Linked DNA regions of Rattus norvegicus. The protein of the gene in region 4 interacts with the protein of the main gene of each other region in a biochemical or structural test. Links are inferred from orthologs where the notes say so. Each region holds a gene or a part of one and is shown on either strand. Other genes may lie near its edges.

The links. The genes of interacting proteins can lie anywhere in the genome.
Region 1: the proteins of Nrip1 (region 4) and Ahr form a complex in vitro, tested with the Homo sapiens proteins (2 studies listed by BioGRID). The link is inferred for Rattus norvegicus from reciprocal best matches to the Homo sapiens genes NRIP1 and AHR.
Region 2: the proteins of Nrip1 (region 4) and Nr5a1 form a complex in vitro, tested with the Homo sapiens proteins (2 studies listed by BioGRID). The link is inferred for Rattus norvegicus from reciprocal best matches to the Homo sapiens genes NRIP1 and NR5A1.
Region 3: the proteins of Nrip1 (region 4) and Ctbp1 form a complex in vitro, tested with the Homo sapiens proteins (2 studies listed by BioGRID and IntAct). The link is inferred for Rattus norvegicus from reciprocal best matches to the Homo sapiens genes NRIP1 and CTBP1.

What each region holds. Positions count from the first base shown.
Region 1 is NC_086024.1:57,996,094-58,000,255, forward strand, and holds the start of Ahr (aryl hydrocarbon receptor), read right to left. Parts: upstream 2,809-4,162; 5' UTR 2,781-2,808; coding exon 2,719-2,780; intron 1-2,718. UniProt on the Homo sapiens protein: Ligand-activated transcription factor that enables cells to adapt to changing conditions by sensing compounds from the environment, diet, microbiome and cellular metabolism, and which plays important roles in development, immunity and cancer.
Region 2 is NC_086021.1:42,893,239-42,897,483, reverse strand, and holds the start of Nr5a1 (steroidogenic factor 1), read left to right. Parts: upstream 1-1,437; 5' UTR 1,438-1,566; intron 1,567-3,819; exon of another isoform or gene 3,820-4,111; intron 4,112-4,245. UniProt on the Homo sapiens protein: Transcriptional activator. Essential for sexual differentiation and formation of the primary steroidogenic tissues. Binds to the Ad4 site found in the promoter region of steroidogenic P450 genes such as CYP11A, CYP11B and CYP21B.
Region 3 is NC_086032.1:81,678,671-81,682,903, forward strand, and holds the start of Ctbp1 (C-terminal-binding protein 1), read left to right. Parts: upstream 1-1,425; 5' UTR 1,426-1,581; coding exon of another isoform or gene 1,582-1,621; intron 1,622-1,732; exon of another isoform or gene 1,733-1,842; intron 1,843-3,630; exon of another isoform or gene 3,631-3,742; intron 3,743-4,233. UniProt on the Homo sapiens protein: Corepressor targeting diverse transcription regulators such as GLIS2 or BCL6. Has dehydrogenase activity. Involved in controlling the equilibrium between tubular and stacked structures in the Golgi complex.
Region 4 is NC_086029.1:28,463,605-28,467,610, forward strand, and holds the start of Nrip1 (nuclear receptor-interacting protein 1), read right to left. Parts: upstream 2,809-4,006; 5' UTR 2,631-2,808; intron 1-2,630. UniProt on the Homo sapiens protein: Modulates transcriptional activation by steroid receptors such as NR3C1, NR3C2 and ESR1. Also modulates transcriptional repression by nuclear hormone receptors.

The DNA.
Region 1 (4,162 bases), on a different chromosome or scaffold from region 4:
GGTAAAGGTTGCTATCCGTGTGTACCTTAGCAGCAGATCATGGGACCTTTGAAAGCTGGCACCTTGCCCTGGCTGGCTTGAATGCCATCACAACTGCAGGGTGTATTTATTGACCATCTATTATTTGCTGATGATCCTAAACTACAACAGCAGTAGGACCTTTTCTGTCTTAGTAAAGCTTCAAAGACGCATTTAAAGTTTTAATCACTGGAGTAGATCATTCCATCGTTTGAGCCTCATTCCGCCATCTTCATGACACAGAACAGCTAAACGATCCCACACAGCATTTTCCTCTCCGAAGGGAATAAGCAAGAACGGAATTTAACTGAAAGCAGACACGAAGTGTGGGACCACTAGCTAAGAAACATCGAAGAAGATTCTGTCCCCGGGTTGGTCTTTGAAATGCTGCCCTTGAAGATGAGGATATGGACTGGGTGCAAGACTGCTTTGGATCTCTTAATCTCCTAACTTTCACTGCACTGAAGAAGGAAACAGTTGTTCACAGGGCAGTGCATATGAAACACTGTACGGGGATGAAATTGAACACATTTCAAACTCACTTCCTGCTCCCGATAACTGTCATGGTGAGACCAGCCACCAGAGGGAGCTTATTTTGTATCTAGATCCTCATTTGAAGAATGAACAAGCTTCAAGTTGAAATCATGTCACCTACTTTACTCCAAATTTTCATGGAACTGTCTAAATATGACATTATTTAACACTGTAGAATTACAGTGCACATGCTCCTTATAAAACAGCTCTCCCTTGAAGGGTTCGAGTTAATTAGAAAGCACGGTCAACACATCTTTGTGTTTTTCCTAAAATTGAGGTATTTGGGGGCCTCACTGCATAGAAGTAGTTTAACTTAAAGACATATTAAAGCTCAATGATCTAATTGTTAAGGATGAACTTTGATTATGTGCATTATAAAGTTCACTATTTTCTACTCGGAGGGAAAAATGTAAGTACTTTCACTAGAGGATCTAAGTGCTAGCACTAAAAGTCTTCGACAAAGCAAGTGGTGACCTTTAAGGCCTATGAAGGGTTAGAGTTGATTAAAGGGGCTCAGTACAGAAGTCAAGAACCATGTAAAATAAAATATAAGTTAGTGGGGACAACAGTTCAGTTGTGAGAAATTATCAAACACAAATAGTGGCAATACAGTTAAAGGTATCTTAATCTAAGGGGAAGTGTTGCAGTGTTAAAAAGGAAGCTCTTTATATTGACTGGAAACTAAAGATATCCAACGTTATAAAGAGCAACCTCTGAGATGGTTACCTTTGTATGAAAAGCAGTTTACATCCTTAAGAAACACAGAGAAAATCAGTTATTTAAAAAACTCACGGGGAGCTTCAGACTTTACGCCCTTGTACATAACATCTGAGTTTTTTTCATCTCAGGCTAAGTTAGTATTACTATTAACAAAAACAGGGAACAAGCACTTAAAAGCCTCTGAAACTTTAACCATCAGGAACAAAGTCAAATTGAGCAAACATGGTTTAATAAAAAGAAACCATTTTACAAAATAACAAGGCGCTGAAAGCCGGGGTCCAAAGAACTGCCGAGGTGGAAAACTGCTGAGTCAACGATATTTGCGTCCTTTAAAGTGTACCATAAAATTTCCAAATTCTGATCAGACTATTTATACACAAGCATCTCCTCTTAAAATTAATTTTTAAGTCAAGATTTGAAGAACTATGACAGTTGAAATTCTTAACGGAATTAAAATCCACAAATAACCCAAGTTCTAAGTTAGTAACTAGTTGTAAACAGTGTATAAATCTTAAGATCTTATTTTTCTGGTTCACTTGGTGATGGCTGTCAGGTTTCAAGCAAAATGCACACTACTGATTACCTGAAAGTGTTCCTAAAATAATTTATTTAAAAAAATAAGAAATGGTGAGTTGTGGAAACTCCAAGATAATTATGAATGAATGCATCAATACACCCAACTCCTAAATGGAACCCTGTCTCATGCTCGGATCTCTTTTCTGTGAAAAAAAATGTTTATGAATATCTCCCATCTCACAGAAATAGCCCATGGAAACAAAGACCAAAGTCTGTAATCACTGTTAGAATCGGCAAAACTTTATAAGCAAGGGGAGATGAATTACAGGTAGACAGTAGAAATAACTTAGAAGTCAGTCCAGTTCTTTTTCCTCTCCTTAATTTTTAAAAAATTTTATATACCCTACAAGCACTCCAAAAGGAGGAAGAAAGTGTCACTAAAGAGTGGCTATGAATGCCACCAAGCCGCCCGAGCACCTGTCCAAGGCACACTCCAACCTGCTACCAACTCTGCGCCTATTCTGAGCCCGGCAAAATCGCTGCCTAGAGGTAAAGGAAAGAGCAAAACAGAAAGCTAGACGCTAAGAACAGAAAGAAATTCCCTCAGAGGCCAGGACCCCTCCTTCAAGACGGCACGTGTTTAGCTCTGGCCAACTTCTCACCTCAGTGAGCTGTCCCCTAAAGCTCACCACGGTGGAGATCTAGAGTGGAGGATTTCCAGGCAGGCTTAACTAACTAAGCCAGAGAGGCACTAGGTAGGTCAGAGCTGTCAACGAATCAGGGCCAGGGAAGGTCGCTGAGCTGCGAAGGTGCAGGCGCCCGAAAGCAGGGACGAATTTTTTAATGCATTGGTTGAGCCCCTGCTCCCGGATGGCTGCACGCGTGGGGACCTCCCGCACCCGCAGAGCGCGCCTGCCCGCCGTCACTCACGTTTTCTGCACCGGCTTGCGCCGCTTGCGGCTGGCATAGGTGATGTTGGCGCCGCTGCTCATGGTGCCCGCGCCCTGCCCGCTCCACCTGCGTCCCGGAGGCGGCGCCCTGCCCGCGCTGCGCCCAGGTGAGCCGCCGCCACCGAGGGCGGGACCGACCGCGACGCGCAGGTGCGGGCGACAGAGGGGACGCGGGGCTGCCCGGGCTAGCCGCGGAGGAGAAACCCGCAAGCCAGCCGCGCCCGGTCCCGAGGGTCAGGAGGAGCCGTAGTGCTCAAGGGCTTCCCTGCTCAGGCGATAAGCCCGCGCTGCTCAAAGCCCAGCAAGGCTGCCACCCCAGAGTCTACCAGTCCGTCCTCCGGGTCGCTCCGGGCTGAACCTCTCCGGGACACGCGTGGGGCACCGAGCGTCGAGGGGACCGCACACACGCGCTGCCGCCCGCCGCGAGCCCGCTCCTCCGCTGTCGCGACCCCGCGCAGCTCCGCCCCGGGCTCCAGCCCCGCCCCACCTGCTCAGCCCCGCCCCTCACGGTTCCCAGGAGGGCCCCACCCTCCTCGCAGCACGTGATGACGCAGGACGTAGTGTCTCCCTACATTTCTTCCAGCCAGAGGTTCTGGAGGCGGGGTGGTGTTCAACTAGTACCTGTTTTCCAGCCTGGAAGGGAGTGTGAGGCCACATTATGTCTGGGCAAATTCCTTGTACCCAGACATCAAGATTTATTAGGCAAAGAGCTTAGCTCCTCCTAGAGTTGAGTCATCTAAGTTTTGACAAAGATTTTACATTGAGCTGGTTGATAAATACTGTGACTGAAGAGCACTCTAAGGGGAAAGCTACAGAAGCCCTACAGAGTTGAGCCTTGAAGGCCAGGAGTTTTATAATACCTTTCCCTCCCACATTTACTGTATCTACAGAAGGTAATAAAATATCTTTTTCTTCATCAGACTTCAGGAAGATGTGTAGGAAAGAAGCATAGGGGTGCTGAGAAATGGGAGGATAGGTACTAAGACTATGACCAGAGAGCTGAGCCTTTGTTGGTAGTCCGGTAGATCTGGTGGTAGGAAAAAAAAATGTAATGGATACTCAGAAAACCAAGAAACCAATCATCAAGCCTTAATAAAGAAGTTGGGTCTCATTCTGTAGGCGATGGGACACTTTTAAAGCCTGAATTTGGAAGATACTATTCCTGCTATCTCGGGAAAGTCACTGTGGGAAGAGGTGGCAATTCTGTTACTCGGGAGCAAAGTGGATGAAGAGAGAGTCGCTGGGAAGTTGATGAAGTCTGAAGCCGTGCAGGTGCAAGTCCGATGGCACAGCAATAGGGATGAGGGAGAAGAAGGCAGAGATAGTAAAGGAGGGAAGTTGGCTGTTAACCACCAAAGAATAGAGGCAGAGCAGTGCATTTTGGGAGTCAGGGCGGTGATGCTGGACATGGTGGAGACGCAGAT
Region 2 (4,245 bases), on a different chromosome or scaffold from region 4:
GGGCCCTCAATCCTTCCCCCACTACAAGACTTCCTGGGCTCCCTCCAATGTTTGACTGTAGGTCTCTGTGTCATTTTCAGCCAGATGCTGGGTGGAACCTCTTAAGGGATGGTTATGCTAGGTGCCTGTCTGCAAGCATAGCAGAGTATCGTTAATAGGAACTCAGTATTTTTTTTTTTAATTTGAAGCAGGCCACAGTGGCTCTTGCTTATGATCCCAGCCCTCACAAGGGAGTAGCTGGAAAGTTAGAGACCAGCCTAAGCTACATAATGAGACACTGTCTCAAACCTAAACAACAGAAACCTAAGTGGTAACATGAGGAGAAGACACTCTGAACTCAAATCTAAATTGGCTCACTTATCCAGAAAAGGCTCTATCATTCAGAGCTACATAAATGAGAAGCTTTGCTTGACTTGCCTGTCTTTCCAAGTGAAGTGGGAGTTCTCAACAGGGTCCCTACTTGGTGGCCTCAGGCCCCTGAACTGTGCCTCAGAACAAATGGTTGCAAAGTCTCTCATGACAGAGGCTCCCAGGTCCTCAGCATGGTGTCCCCTAGTGCCTAGAACTGTGCTTGGCTCACAGAGTTCACAGTCTATAGGAGATGTAGACGGAATGAACAGATGGGTTACTCCAGAGGTGTGGGATGGAGGGCCATGAAGGGCTCAGCGATCAGGATCCAATCCGTCTAGGCCAGTTCAGGAACTGGCTAAGCAGGGATGCCTGGCCTTCTAGGAAAATAAAAAACAAAAACAAACAAACAAACAAACAAAAACTCCTTCCCTACCTGGGTCTACCCACATAGTCCTACCTGAAGTCCCTGTAGCCACACCCTTAGCCCAGCAGTGTTGGCACAGCCTCGGTTTCCCCAAGGAAATGGAGACCATCTCTACAGCTCCCAATGCACAGTAATATTCAGAGAAGCCACCAAAAAGGGCCCAAGAACCCCACCTGATGGAGACACTAGCCATTCTGACTCCTCACTCAGGTCTGGGACAAGCTGGACCACGCAGCCCAGGCCAGAACCCAGGGAGGAAGCCATTCAAGGGGAGAAACTCCCAGCCTGGTGAGGGAGCAGCCCATAAATCAGGTCCCACTCCCACCCAGTCACTAACAAGCCGCTGCCTATCTGCCTACATGGGGTCCCTGCCTCAGGCTCCCACAGCAGCAGCCTGCACAACCAGCTGGCCCAGGCCTCCCCAGTGCCTTGGCCTCTGCCCCCACCCAGGGCCCCCATAAAGATAGGAATATTTTTTTTCTTTTAGAAGAGTGAAAAAAGATATAGACCCAAATGAAGAGAAACACCAATAAAGGAGGAGAAAGGCCTGCAGAGTCACGTGGGGGCAGAGACCAATTGGGCCTCCGGTGGCCCCCCCCACCCATGAGGGGAGGAGGAGAGGACGATCGGACAGGGCCAGTTTGCAGTCCGCCGCTGCCTGCCCGCTGCTGGGGGAAGAAGTTCCTGACAGCCCGATAGCCACTGCCCTACCTGGGGCCTGGGAACCTCCCCACCAGGACCCTGGTGCCCAGTGTCCACCCTTATCCGGCTGAGAATTCTCCTTCCGTTCAGTAAGTGAAGGCCGGGGCCCAGGCCTCTACTGGCCAGCCTCCCTCCTCAGTGCCTTGCTCCGGCCTAGACTGGCCATTGCCTGCTCTACAGAATGACCAGTTCCTACCACTCTGGGCAGGGAAAAGGCCAGGGGTCTCCCCAGGTCCATTTCCCCATTACAACACCCCTCATCTCTTCCTATGGTGTGCTACAGAGGAGTTAGGCCTATGGCGACAGACCCTAGGGTTTGAGGGTGGTTGGTGGTGTCTTAGAGGTGGCCGGGGGTTCCTGAGAGTATGGTGTTCCGTGTCTGTCCTGAGGGTCTTCTGGATTTGGAGTCTTGCTGCCTGAGTGTCTGGCTTGCCTCTGTGTAGGTATCTGAGCCTCCATGTGTGTATGTCTGTGTTTCTACTGTCAGTCAGGGTCAGAGTCTTACTTTGCTTCCCTGGGTAGATGGATGAAAGGGTGTGAGTCACTGTAAGGGTATACAGGGAGAGGGGGCATTCAGTGGAACCCTGGAAGAAAGGGCTGAGATACAGGCAGAAAGAGAGAGAGCAGCTTGGTGCCCATCCCCCATCCCACCAGGGATTTAGCCCAGAGCCCACATCATCCCAGATGCCCCTGGTGGGCTACTCTAGAGATGCCAGTCAGGAGCCCAGCCCCCATTTCTTCGTCCCCGCTGCCTACTGGCCTCTGTGCCTAGGTTCATCTGGGGACTTTTGTTTTGGTTTTGTTTGTGTTTTTGCGACTAGAAATGAAATGGCAGAGCCTCACACTGGGCGTGGTCTGCCATTGAACCCCATTCCCTCCCCAGTTTCACTTTCTGAGGGTTCCTATCTGAAGGGGATTTGTGCAAAAGCCTATATAGCCCCTATCCCTGAGGTGTAAGTGCTCAGTGTGGGGAGAGGGCCTGACACGCCTCTGGCTCTGGCTCTGTCCTTCTACGATTCACCCACGCAATTTCACTCAACACAGCTCTGTAGGACAGGAAGGCAGTGACTTGCCTGAGCTAGGACAGCCAAGTCCGTCAGATTCTGTGGTGCTTCCCTCCATGAATGTCTTGAGAGGCTCGCTGTGCTGGGTCTTCAGCTTTATGCAAGCACCCTAGTCCGGCACTCACAGAAACCCGAGCTACGGGGTGGGATCCATACCGAGTTTTGGATGGGTGGTTCTCGGCCAAGGCATAACTGCTGTACTTCCCCACTGAGGCTTTCTGGAATCCATTTCCAGCCTCCCGAACTGCCTTCCACCCCCTGGTGGCTAAGGGGACTGGGCTGGGTTGAGTAGGCCTCTTCAAAGATCTCTCAACCACAGTTACTTAACTTGAAAAGCTGTGTGGTCTGGTGGACGTTTGCAGCCCAGAACAACTGCTTTGCCACCTCACCCGCAGGACCAGTATTCCAGAGGCTCCCGTTCTCTCCCCCTCCCCCTATGCCCAAGCTAGAGGATAGCTCACAGGGGCGCGTGGGTACAGCTCCACAGCTTAGCTTTTGGGTCTCTGAGCCCATGGAGCTCAGGCTGCTTACCAGACCTTGGGATGTCGCAGAGTGGGATAACCATGCTTCCCATTTCCACACGAGCACCCTGAGGGAGACTCCTGGAAATGGGGTTCGCCCCGAACTCTTGCTGTCCACTCCACCGCATCCATTTTCAGCCACCCTCTGGAAGAGCTGGCTTCGGCAGCCTGAGTAGGCAAATGTGGCAGTGCTAACTCAAAAGTCTAGTTTCTTCCTTGCTTGTGCCTTGCCCACCACCCCACTCATGCCCTTAACCAATTTCACACGGCAAAACGACCAGCGTTCAGGCCTTGGCACCCCTAAACTGGACTAGCAAACCGGAGCTCGCCTCCTCCCTGCGCAGGCGGAGGCCCGAAGCTTCCCCGCGCACGGCACCTGACCGTATTCTGGGGTGCTCAGGGTCCCCAATTCTCTTAGAACTCGCGGGCTTCGGAGGATCGAGCTGGGACTGGAGGGCCAGGAGGTGAGGGTGAAGGCCGAGAGGGGCTGTAGAGAGGGTAGGACACAGGCCGGGTTGTGGGGAGGACAAGGACCGCGCCTCCGCCCCCGGATACCGCACGCGCGCATATAGAGCGGCCACCCCGGCCCCGCGCGGCGGGTTCGCGAAGCGCGCAGTGCGGCGGAGGGGCCCGGGTCCCAGGTGCGCCTCGAGCAGCCCCGCAGGCGGCGGGCGCGGGGAGGCGGGGGCAGAGCGGGACGGTCTCCCCGCCCCCGGCCCGAGTGGCCGTCATTGCGGGCGGGCGGGCGGGCGGGCGGCGCTGAGCCCGGGTGCGGCTTCATCGCGGGCGGCGGCGCGGCCAAAAGGTGCGGGGCTCGGTGCGGGCCGAACGCGGGGTGCTGCTCGCGGGAGCGGCCTGTGTGGGCGCCGCCGTCGTACCGGCCCTCACATTCCCGGCCACGGCTCTCGGGATCTGGACTCCCCGTCTGAGGTCTACCGGAGCCTGTATCCCCTTCTCTGTACCCCGTCTCCGCCGGAGGTCTCCGCCCCGCGCCCTCGACCCCGCTGCGCCCTCCACGCCCGCTCTCGGCCCGACGTCTCGGCTCGCCGGTGGGTGCCGTCGCTGCGTGGCTTTGTCTGCGGACCCAGCGGCCCGGCTCCAGGGTTCTCTGCTTCTCAGGGTCGGCCCCTGTCCCTCCACGGGGCCACGCCTTGGAGCTCTCTGCCCGCGTGTCTCCCCATCT
Region 3 (4,233 bases), on a different chromosome or scaffold from region 4:
TTTCTTACTGGCACCGGGATGATGGCTCAGGGGTCAGGCCTCAAGCAGTGCTGAGCAGAGTGGAGTGAGGGTGAATGCGGCCCAACAGACACCAGATCCTCTCTTAGAAGCAGGTGGTTACAGGTGCCTTTGGGCAAGCCTAAGGTCAGAGGGTCTCTTAGGATGGGCATGTTCAGAACCACCTGTCCGTTTCCACATCTCTACCTAGTGGTTTTCCACCTCATATCCTTAGGAGCAGACTCCTGCCTGCAGGGACCATCCTTGGAGTAGGAGTCCAAGTCAGTGTGGTGGTGCCAAGAAGCCTGGGTTTCCGTTCAGTGCTTCCGTCCCTAAGGGTTTTTAAACAAGCCAGAATATAATCCCTCACAGGGATGGAGTGATGTGGTGGTCCTAGTCGCACTGTGCAGGAAAAATGAGAGTTTGGGCAGGCTGAGAAGGAACGGGAGGTGCCACGCTGCCGTGGAGTTGCTATGTTGGATGGAAGAACTGGGAGGAGCCCTTTGGATAATTCGTAGGGAATTACCTGCAGCTCGAGAAAACGGAGCAGAGGAGAGACAGTCCGGGATAGGGGTGGGGATTAAGGTGGGGTACACCTGCTGGCTTCCCCCTAACCCTCAATCTATTTCCTCGGTATTGTAGCAGGCTTGAGACTCCACCTGTTAGATCCTTTTCTCCATTCATGTCTGCCAATGGATCGAATTGGAAAGGTATTTTCAAAGCATTTGTTCTGTAAACAGATGCCCAGACCCTTGTCATCCCGCACTGAATCTGCCTACCTTTCTTAAAGATTTGGTTTTCAAAACACGTAGGTAACAAGATGGCTTTCAGCATCCTTCAGTTTGGGTTGTTTTCGTGATTTAAATATACACATATTTTTTAAACAGCTAAGCGGTATCACTCGCTACGCTCGCCTGACAGTTCCACCAACAGCTAGGCTCTTACTCTGCGTGCCCGGAGGGTATGTGACCCTGTGCACAGATCACTTTCCCTGGCGGGGCGCTGTCCAGCTCCTGGGTCCTGCGTTCTGGGTCCGCGGCCCCAGCTCCAGCGCACAAGGGGCCGAGTGCACCCTCTCGCTGTCCTCTTGAGTCCGCGGCGACTAGCCCGGTAGCGCCCCACGCGGATGGGCTGCTTCACCACTCGGGCTCCAGCCCAGGTCACCGAGCCAAGGAGTGGCAGGGGCACAGTCCCGGGTACGCGCAGGGGAGGGGAGGCCGGGGGCGGGTACAGCTGGGGGCGTGTCCAGGAAGGGAATCCAGCCTGGGAGGGGCGCGGGGGGTGGGGGCCGAGCGCCGGGCCGGCGGGCAGCTGGGCCCCTGAGCCGCCCGCGTACGTCCAGCGCGCCGCCTTGCCGGCAAACAGCAGACCAACCGAGGCCACGCCCGCGCGCGCGCGCCGCGTGTCCCCGCCCGCTCGTCGGTCGGAGCGCGGCTGGCGGCGCGGTGGCGGCTCGGCACGGCGGTGGCCGGTCGCAGGCGGCCGGGCGGAATAGCAGACTGCGCCGAAGCCGCCCCAGGCGCAGGGCTCGCGGCGGCGGAGAGCGCCGGACTCATCGGGGCCCGCGGCCACCCGCGCCTTTCAATGGGCAGCTCGCACTTGCTCAACAAGGGCCTGCCGCTGGGTAAGGCCGCGCGCGCACATTTCCGGCTGCGGGCGGGGGGCGGGGGCGGGGCGGCCGGGCGCGCGCAGCGCTGGCTTTGTGTACGAGTGCGCGTGCGCGCTCGGCGCGCGCGCTGGGGACCCGTGCGGCTAACGGGAGGTGCGCATGCGCGAACTGCTGTACAGGCGTGCGCGTGCGTGTGCGCGTCCCTATTTTCCGCTGCCCGCTCGCGACTTGCGCAGGTGACAAAGGGGTCTGTGGTGTTACGACCCAGGCTGTGACCGAGCGGGGCCTATCCTCCTGGCCCGCGGCCCCGCGAGAATCCTTCTCGTGGATACCCAGGCCGGACCTAGGTGTTCCCGGAGTGAGGAGCCTGCGGATTCCGCATGGGCCTCGGGTTGGCAAATCCGGGAGCGGGTAGTCTCTAGAGGTGGCACTGAGGGGACGTGGGTGGCCTACATGCCTATCACCCCTCTAGACGACTTAGTGATGCTCAGCTTGGCCCCTGGATTTGGACCACTTAAGTTTTTTATTCATTTATGAAAGTCCTTAAGCCACAGGGGTCCTGCCTGTGGAGGGCAGTCCTTCCTTGGCAGCGTTCCCTGGCCGCGCAGCCTGGCGCACGCGCAGTGAAGACGACCCCACCTTCGGGCGGGGCAGCCCAGAGGTTTCAGAGCTCCGGAGGAGCTTTGGCCCACTGTCCAAGCGCCCCATGGTGTCTATCCCTGGCGCTTCCACCTTAATGATGACAGGGCTTGACCCGAGCTCTGCCCTCACAAGGGTACTGCCTTCTTCCTCTTAACCTGAAAGATGCAGAGGAAGAATCCTTGCAGCGTGTGCTGCCAGCAGGAAATAAGGAACTGTGGGCAGGAGGGGAAAAGGGAGGCGCCCTGTGATGGCCTACTGCACCTCTTATCAGACAAGGCCATTTTGCAGATCCTGTCAGTCTGTTTCAGGGTGTGGCGGGGTAAGGCCCTCCAGGCCTGCCTCTATCCTGGACTGGTGGTGGGTACTCCTCCCCCACACTGCACCTACACACACACACACACACACACACACAAACACACACACACACACATTATATATATACACACCCACACATATGTGTGTGTGTTTGTGGGAAGAGACTCTGCACTCAAACCAGCAGGGTTATAAGCCAGAATTTCCCATGGGTTGGGGAGGATAGGCCCAGCCATTGCCTTCCAGAAATAAGCAGGACAGCCTTCATCCTGGCCTTGCCTGTCAAACCTTTCCTGGTCCAGAGCCATGCCCCTTGTCTTGATGAGCTTTCAATTGGTTAGGACAAATTTGCCTTCTAGGAAAGAAAAGGGAAAGAATTTAGTTGTCCAGTATTCAGGAAGGTGAACCCGTGAGACAGGGTGTCAGCAAGATGATACCTAGTGGTTTTATTCCCCAGGTAGTGTGTTACCTTACTGTGTTCTGCTTTGTCACTTCCAGAATCCGAGAGCACATGCCTATTATAAAAAAGAATGCACAGGATGCTTACCCCAGTGTGGGCAGCATGTAGGACATCGGGGCTACTGCCCTAGAGTGGGGCCAACATCTTTGAGTCCTGGGGTAGCATGATCTCTGGAAGAATGATGGCAGGGCATGGTTATGGGCCTGGGCTCATGTGTGATCTCTCTGTTTCATCTGCAACATGGGGTGACAGCTGTGGGATGTGCCAAGTTCAGGGATAGCATTGTGGGTGTGTGGGGTAATATTGTTCCCTGGAACTGTATGTGTTTCCTTGTCTTGTTACTATTTAGGGTGGCAACTGTGGTTTGAGGCTGCCCTTTCTCTGCTCTGGAGCTTGGTCAGGCATGGCCCTGCTGTGTGTGTCAGCCTGGCTTCCACAGATGTCTGAGGGCACTGTGCCATGTTAGTTGTACATAATGTGGACTGGGGCCTGTAGATTCTTGGTGGGACCTTCGTGATATGCTGCTCTTGCAGTGGCCTCTGATCTCTTTTCTGTCATCTGTGGGTCTTTGACAAGTTTCAGCCGAGTGCTTCGCCTTTCTCCAGATGATCCTCATGCTCAGAGAGGTCTGGTATCCCCTTCAGGGTTCCAAGTGGGATCAGATCCCTGGCTCCAGCCTTCCAACAGCTCACTGTTTCCTACCTGCCTTTTGAACTTCATTGGTGAGTGCCCTCTGGCAAGAAACTTCTGTGAGCATTCATCCTCAGTCCTGGGTACTGCTGAGGACACCCTTGGGTAGGGCCCTGTCCGTGTGACCTACTAGCCCTGTGGCTCCCTGGCATGGTATGTGAAGCAGACCTGTCCTGAGGTCTTTTCTGCACGGTAACACCTTTACACTAGCTTTCATTCTACTAGTGTCAGGGAAGGATTTGGCTTGCATGGTGCTGGGCAGGGTGGCCTGCCTGTAAGCCCTGAGATGTAAGCTGCTACACAGGAGAAGTAGCAGCTTATGTGGAGTTAGTTTTGTAGTTCAGCTATGTCACCTGAAGTCTGCCAGCACCAGGGCCTGCATTCTGCATCCTCCCAGTCACTGCCATCAGTGACTCGCTGAGTTCTGTGGGGTAGGTATGTTCAGCCTCCTGAGTCTTTCAGCAGTCCTGCAGCAGCTGTAGCACCCTTGACCCTCAGGTTCTGAGGGTCATGATCATGAACG
Region 4 (4,006 bases):
GATCTTGGAGGCCATCTTTCAGGCTAGACGGTTAGAGGAGGAGCGTTACTTCCTCCTCGGACAATGTGATAAGCAGAAGGGTAGAGGCTGCCGCCCTCAGGCCTCCTGTTTAACAGACTGCTTTGCCACTCACAAACCTCCAGTAGGACAGGTTATCACTGTTTCACTGACTGTATTCCCAAACACCTTATCCCAGCTTCCAAGACGGTCTACCGTCTCTCTAACCTTCTCAGTGTTTAAAATGTTGGTAATGGCAACATCCCTCTCTCTATACTTTTGTCATCGCTTTTGTCGCCCTCCCCCCCCCAAAAAAAAACCTCAAAAGGCACCGAGAACACTTATTTTGTCACATTTCTTGAATCTCTCGTATCACAGGAAATCTTTTTGCACTCAGGGCCACCTTGGAGCACAAGCTAAAAGAAGCTGTCTTTAAATTTTTTTTCTTTTGAATTAGTATCTTTCGGAGACTGGCCCACTTGAGTTGATATGTCATAATTTTCGGTTCTGAAAGTGTCGTGGATAATTTAAATTGGCACTTGCTATGCATTACTTAAATAAGTGTTCTCCTGGATGGCCTCTGAAAAGCCTGAATTCCTTAATCTTGTTTTGACTATACAGTAACCACGAGGGACACGTCAATGTAAGCAAACTCCAAGAGCAATAAACTAACAAACAGACTCTAGGTGGTGGTATAGGTTATTTTTTTAATCACAACGTTTTGCTCTTAAAACTGGAGGAGTCAGAGGAGCCCTGGCCTCATCCACAAACATTTCTCCATTGCTAACCCACAATTATTTTCAGGTATCTCAATTACAAAAATCCAAGTTCTGCAAAGTTTGGAAACTCAGATTTCTAAGTCTTCTCGTAGGCATGAAAGCTGGTTTTCAACTACCTGTATATAAGCAGCAACCGAAGCCCTCCTTAGAGTTTTGAAGTATACTTTTTAAGGATATTTTCTTCTCGCTCCTTGTACTTTAAGTGTGGAGTCTTCCCAGTACAGTATAGAACAGGCTGGGGTGAGGCTCCAGTTTGCAGGTATTGCCTGCGGCATGACTGACTCTCCTTTGTCTCTACTAAGTCCTACACAGAAAGTTCCTGTTGGATCAATTAAACCCTATGGACAAACTGCTGGGCCAAACCAGGGCAACTCACTTGGAAGGGGAAGATTTCAACATTTTCCCAGGCTGCAGCCACTCTTAGGGGCCATGCATGTGAAGCACCCACCGTTTGCTTAAAAAGTCGACTCCGTCTCTTAGACAAAGGTGGCAACCTGATGATTAAACACTGGATAATTGCATCTGGAAGATGCCGCCCACTTGCTAAACCCATGATTCACTAATAAGCGGGTTCAATGTAATTCATAACTCTAAAGAATGAATTACCGAAGTCCCTGCTTTACAAAACCCAAGAGATAGACTACACATCGTTTAAGCATACACACAGACAGACAGACACACAGACACTCCAATCTTGTTTTACTTTTAGACTGTCTCTCTTTCTCTAAAAACACTGTTTTCGCTCAGTGTCACAATCAGTTACAAGAGCAGACAAACTCCAGCCTGGTGCCATCAAAAAAAAAAGAGTTAAAAGTTCTTGCACCTAACAATGTCCGGACTTCCCTCTAACTAAAATGATCCATTAATTTAAAAAAGTAAAGTATTTTAACGTAAAATTACCTAACGTTTCATACTTCGTTTGCGACCGCCAGAATCCAATTAAATTTCTGACATGATGGAAGGTAGAAACTCGTGGAATGCCTCAGAGATCAACATGTGTCAGACTCACTGCCTGTCCGCCTTTTAAACACAGTGGATTCCTTTGTTCCTTCCGTCTGAATATCAACTCCTGATTAAAATTTGGAAACTACTTTGGGAAGGATGGGAGGGTCTAGGGGAATGTTTCCGCGGAAGAGGGTTTCTTCTAGCAACAATAGTAGTAAGGAGGACAGTGGCACCAGAGAGAAGAGCAGTCTCTCAGGACTTCACCAGGCTCACCCGAGTGAACCCCTCTCGGATGCTGGGGGAACTGGGCTGAGGCCTCGGGTGCAAGGGGCCTCGCCCTCCTCGGCAGGCGGGGAGCTCGTGCCCAGCAGGCCGGGCCTGGGGCTCAGCGCTGTCCCTTCTCCGAGTCACTTTTCCCGGCCGGGAATCGGCGAGCACCGCGCAAGGGAGAAACCGGCGATAGGCGGGGAGCTGCGCGGGCGCCACCGCGAGCACCGCTGGGCGGCAGGACCGAGCGGGGCTGCAGCCAGCGCCCGGGGCTCGGGGCCAACGGGGGCAGCCGGGCGGGCGGGCGAGCTCGACCCGGGCCCCGCGATCCGGCCACCCGCGTGGGTCCCGGCGCATTACACCCAGGGCGGCTGCGCCCCTCGCGCCAAGGCTGGCACGGACGAGCCCGCGGCTGGGAACTCCACAACTTGGCGGCTGCGCCGGCCGGGCCCGCGAGTTCCCGGGGAGAGCCGGAGAGGGGCGCGGCGGCGCGCTGTCCCCGGGATCCGTGTCCCTGGAGCCCCCCGCGGGCCTCCCCCGGCCTCCGCCGCCTCCACGGGCCGCGCACCCAGGCCGTGCCCGGGCGGCTCGGCGTCCGCTCAGCGAGCTCCGCACGGAGCCCGGGCCGCGATCGCCACTCACCGAGGCCGCCGCGGCTCCGGGCCGCCGATCCGCGTCGCTCCCTCCTTCCCAGGTTAGCCGTGCCCTGCGGCCGCGCGAGGCCACGGGCGCTGCGCACCGGCGGGCTGGGGCCGGCTCGTCCTCCGCCTGCGCCGCGGTCGCCGTCGCCTCCCGAGTTCGGGGCTCTGCTGCAATGTCTGCGAGGCTGACTTTGAGCGCCTCGCTCGCCGCCCGCCCGCCGCAGCCGCGCTCCTCCCTCCGCCGCCGACTTCGCGGCGGCCGGGTCCCTCCCCTCGCTGCTCCACGCCATTCAGCTCTTCAGCCAAGTTTCTTAACCCTTTTCTGCCCCTCCCTCCCATTGTCACCCGGGCGGAGCGCGCACCCGGCGGCTTGCCGGAGCCCGGGAGCCCACCCGGCGTCTGCAGGCCTTCTCGCCGGTGCTCCGGGTGGGGGTCCGGGTCTGAGCGGCCTTGAAGGCAGAGGGAGGACGCGGTTGAACCGGAGAAGGGGGGTGCTTTGCTCCCCGAGCCGGCGCCCTGGCTTCCCAGCCGCGTCCAGCCAGCCGCCTGGACAGATTCCCCGCTAGGGGCCAGGCGATAGCCCATGTCACCCTTGCGGGGGCAAACGCTGGGGGCACCAAAGGGGAGTCGGGGCGCCTTAACCCTACCCCAGGTTCCCCACCTAAGGGCTGGCACCTTAAATGTCTCCCTTTCTCCCGTTTCAACCCACAAATACGCGTTCTCTTGGAGCCCTTTACCCACCCTCAATTTTCCACCTCCTTGAAATCTGTGTCCCGCTTAAATTCCGGAAGCCACGGCGCTATAACTCTAGGTCATTTTGACCCCATCCTCAGCACCTAGTAGGACCCAGTAATAAATATGGCATGATTGCAAGCGGAAAACTGGGAAGGAGACCTGAGGAGTGCACAGCTCAGCTCCCTAGACGGACGCAGGACCCAGGAACCTGGTTTATCTTCTGCTGCTTTGTCACTGCGAAGTCTCCAGTAGGGTCTGCCCGCCAATCTGCACCACCCCCAGGAAGGATCTGACCCAACAGGACTAGAAGATGGGCTGGCACTTCTTTAAGCAGCTCTGCTGGGTTCAGAGTCTCAATAAATAACAATTACATCACGGAGCCAGGGTGGCAGTGCAGCGAAACCTGGGTTTCCTGCAGCCTGGTCTTGCTGAACCCGCCTCTGAATTTGAGGGGGGCTAACAGATTGGTGAGGCTAGAAAGTGGAGGGAGGAGAGAAAAAGACGAAACCGTGATCTCTTCCTCTCCTTGTGTTTTCTGCTTTAAAATCCTATTCTCTCTACTCCCTTCATATGTTACTTGTGAAGCCTCCTTTTAACGCTCCCCCTACCCCAGATGTCACGTTTGTTTTTGACTCTAGCATC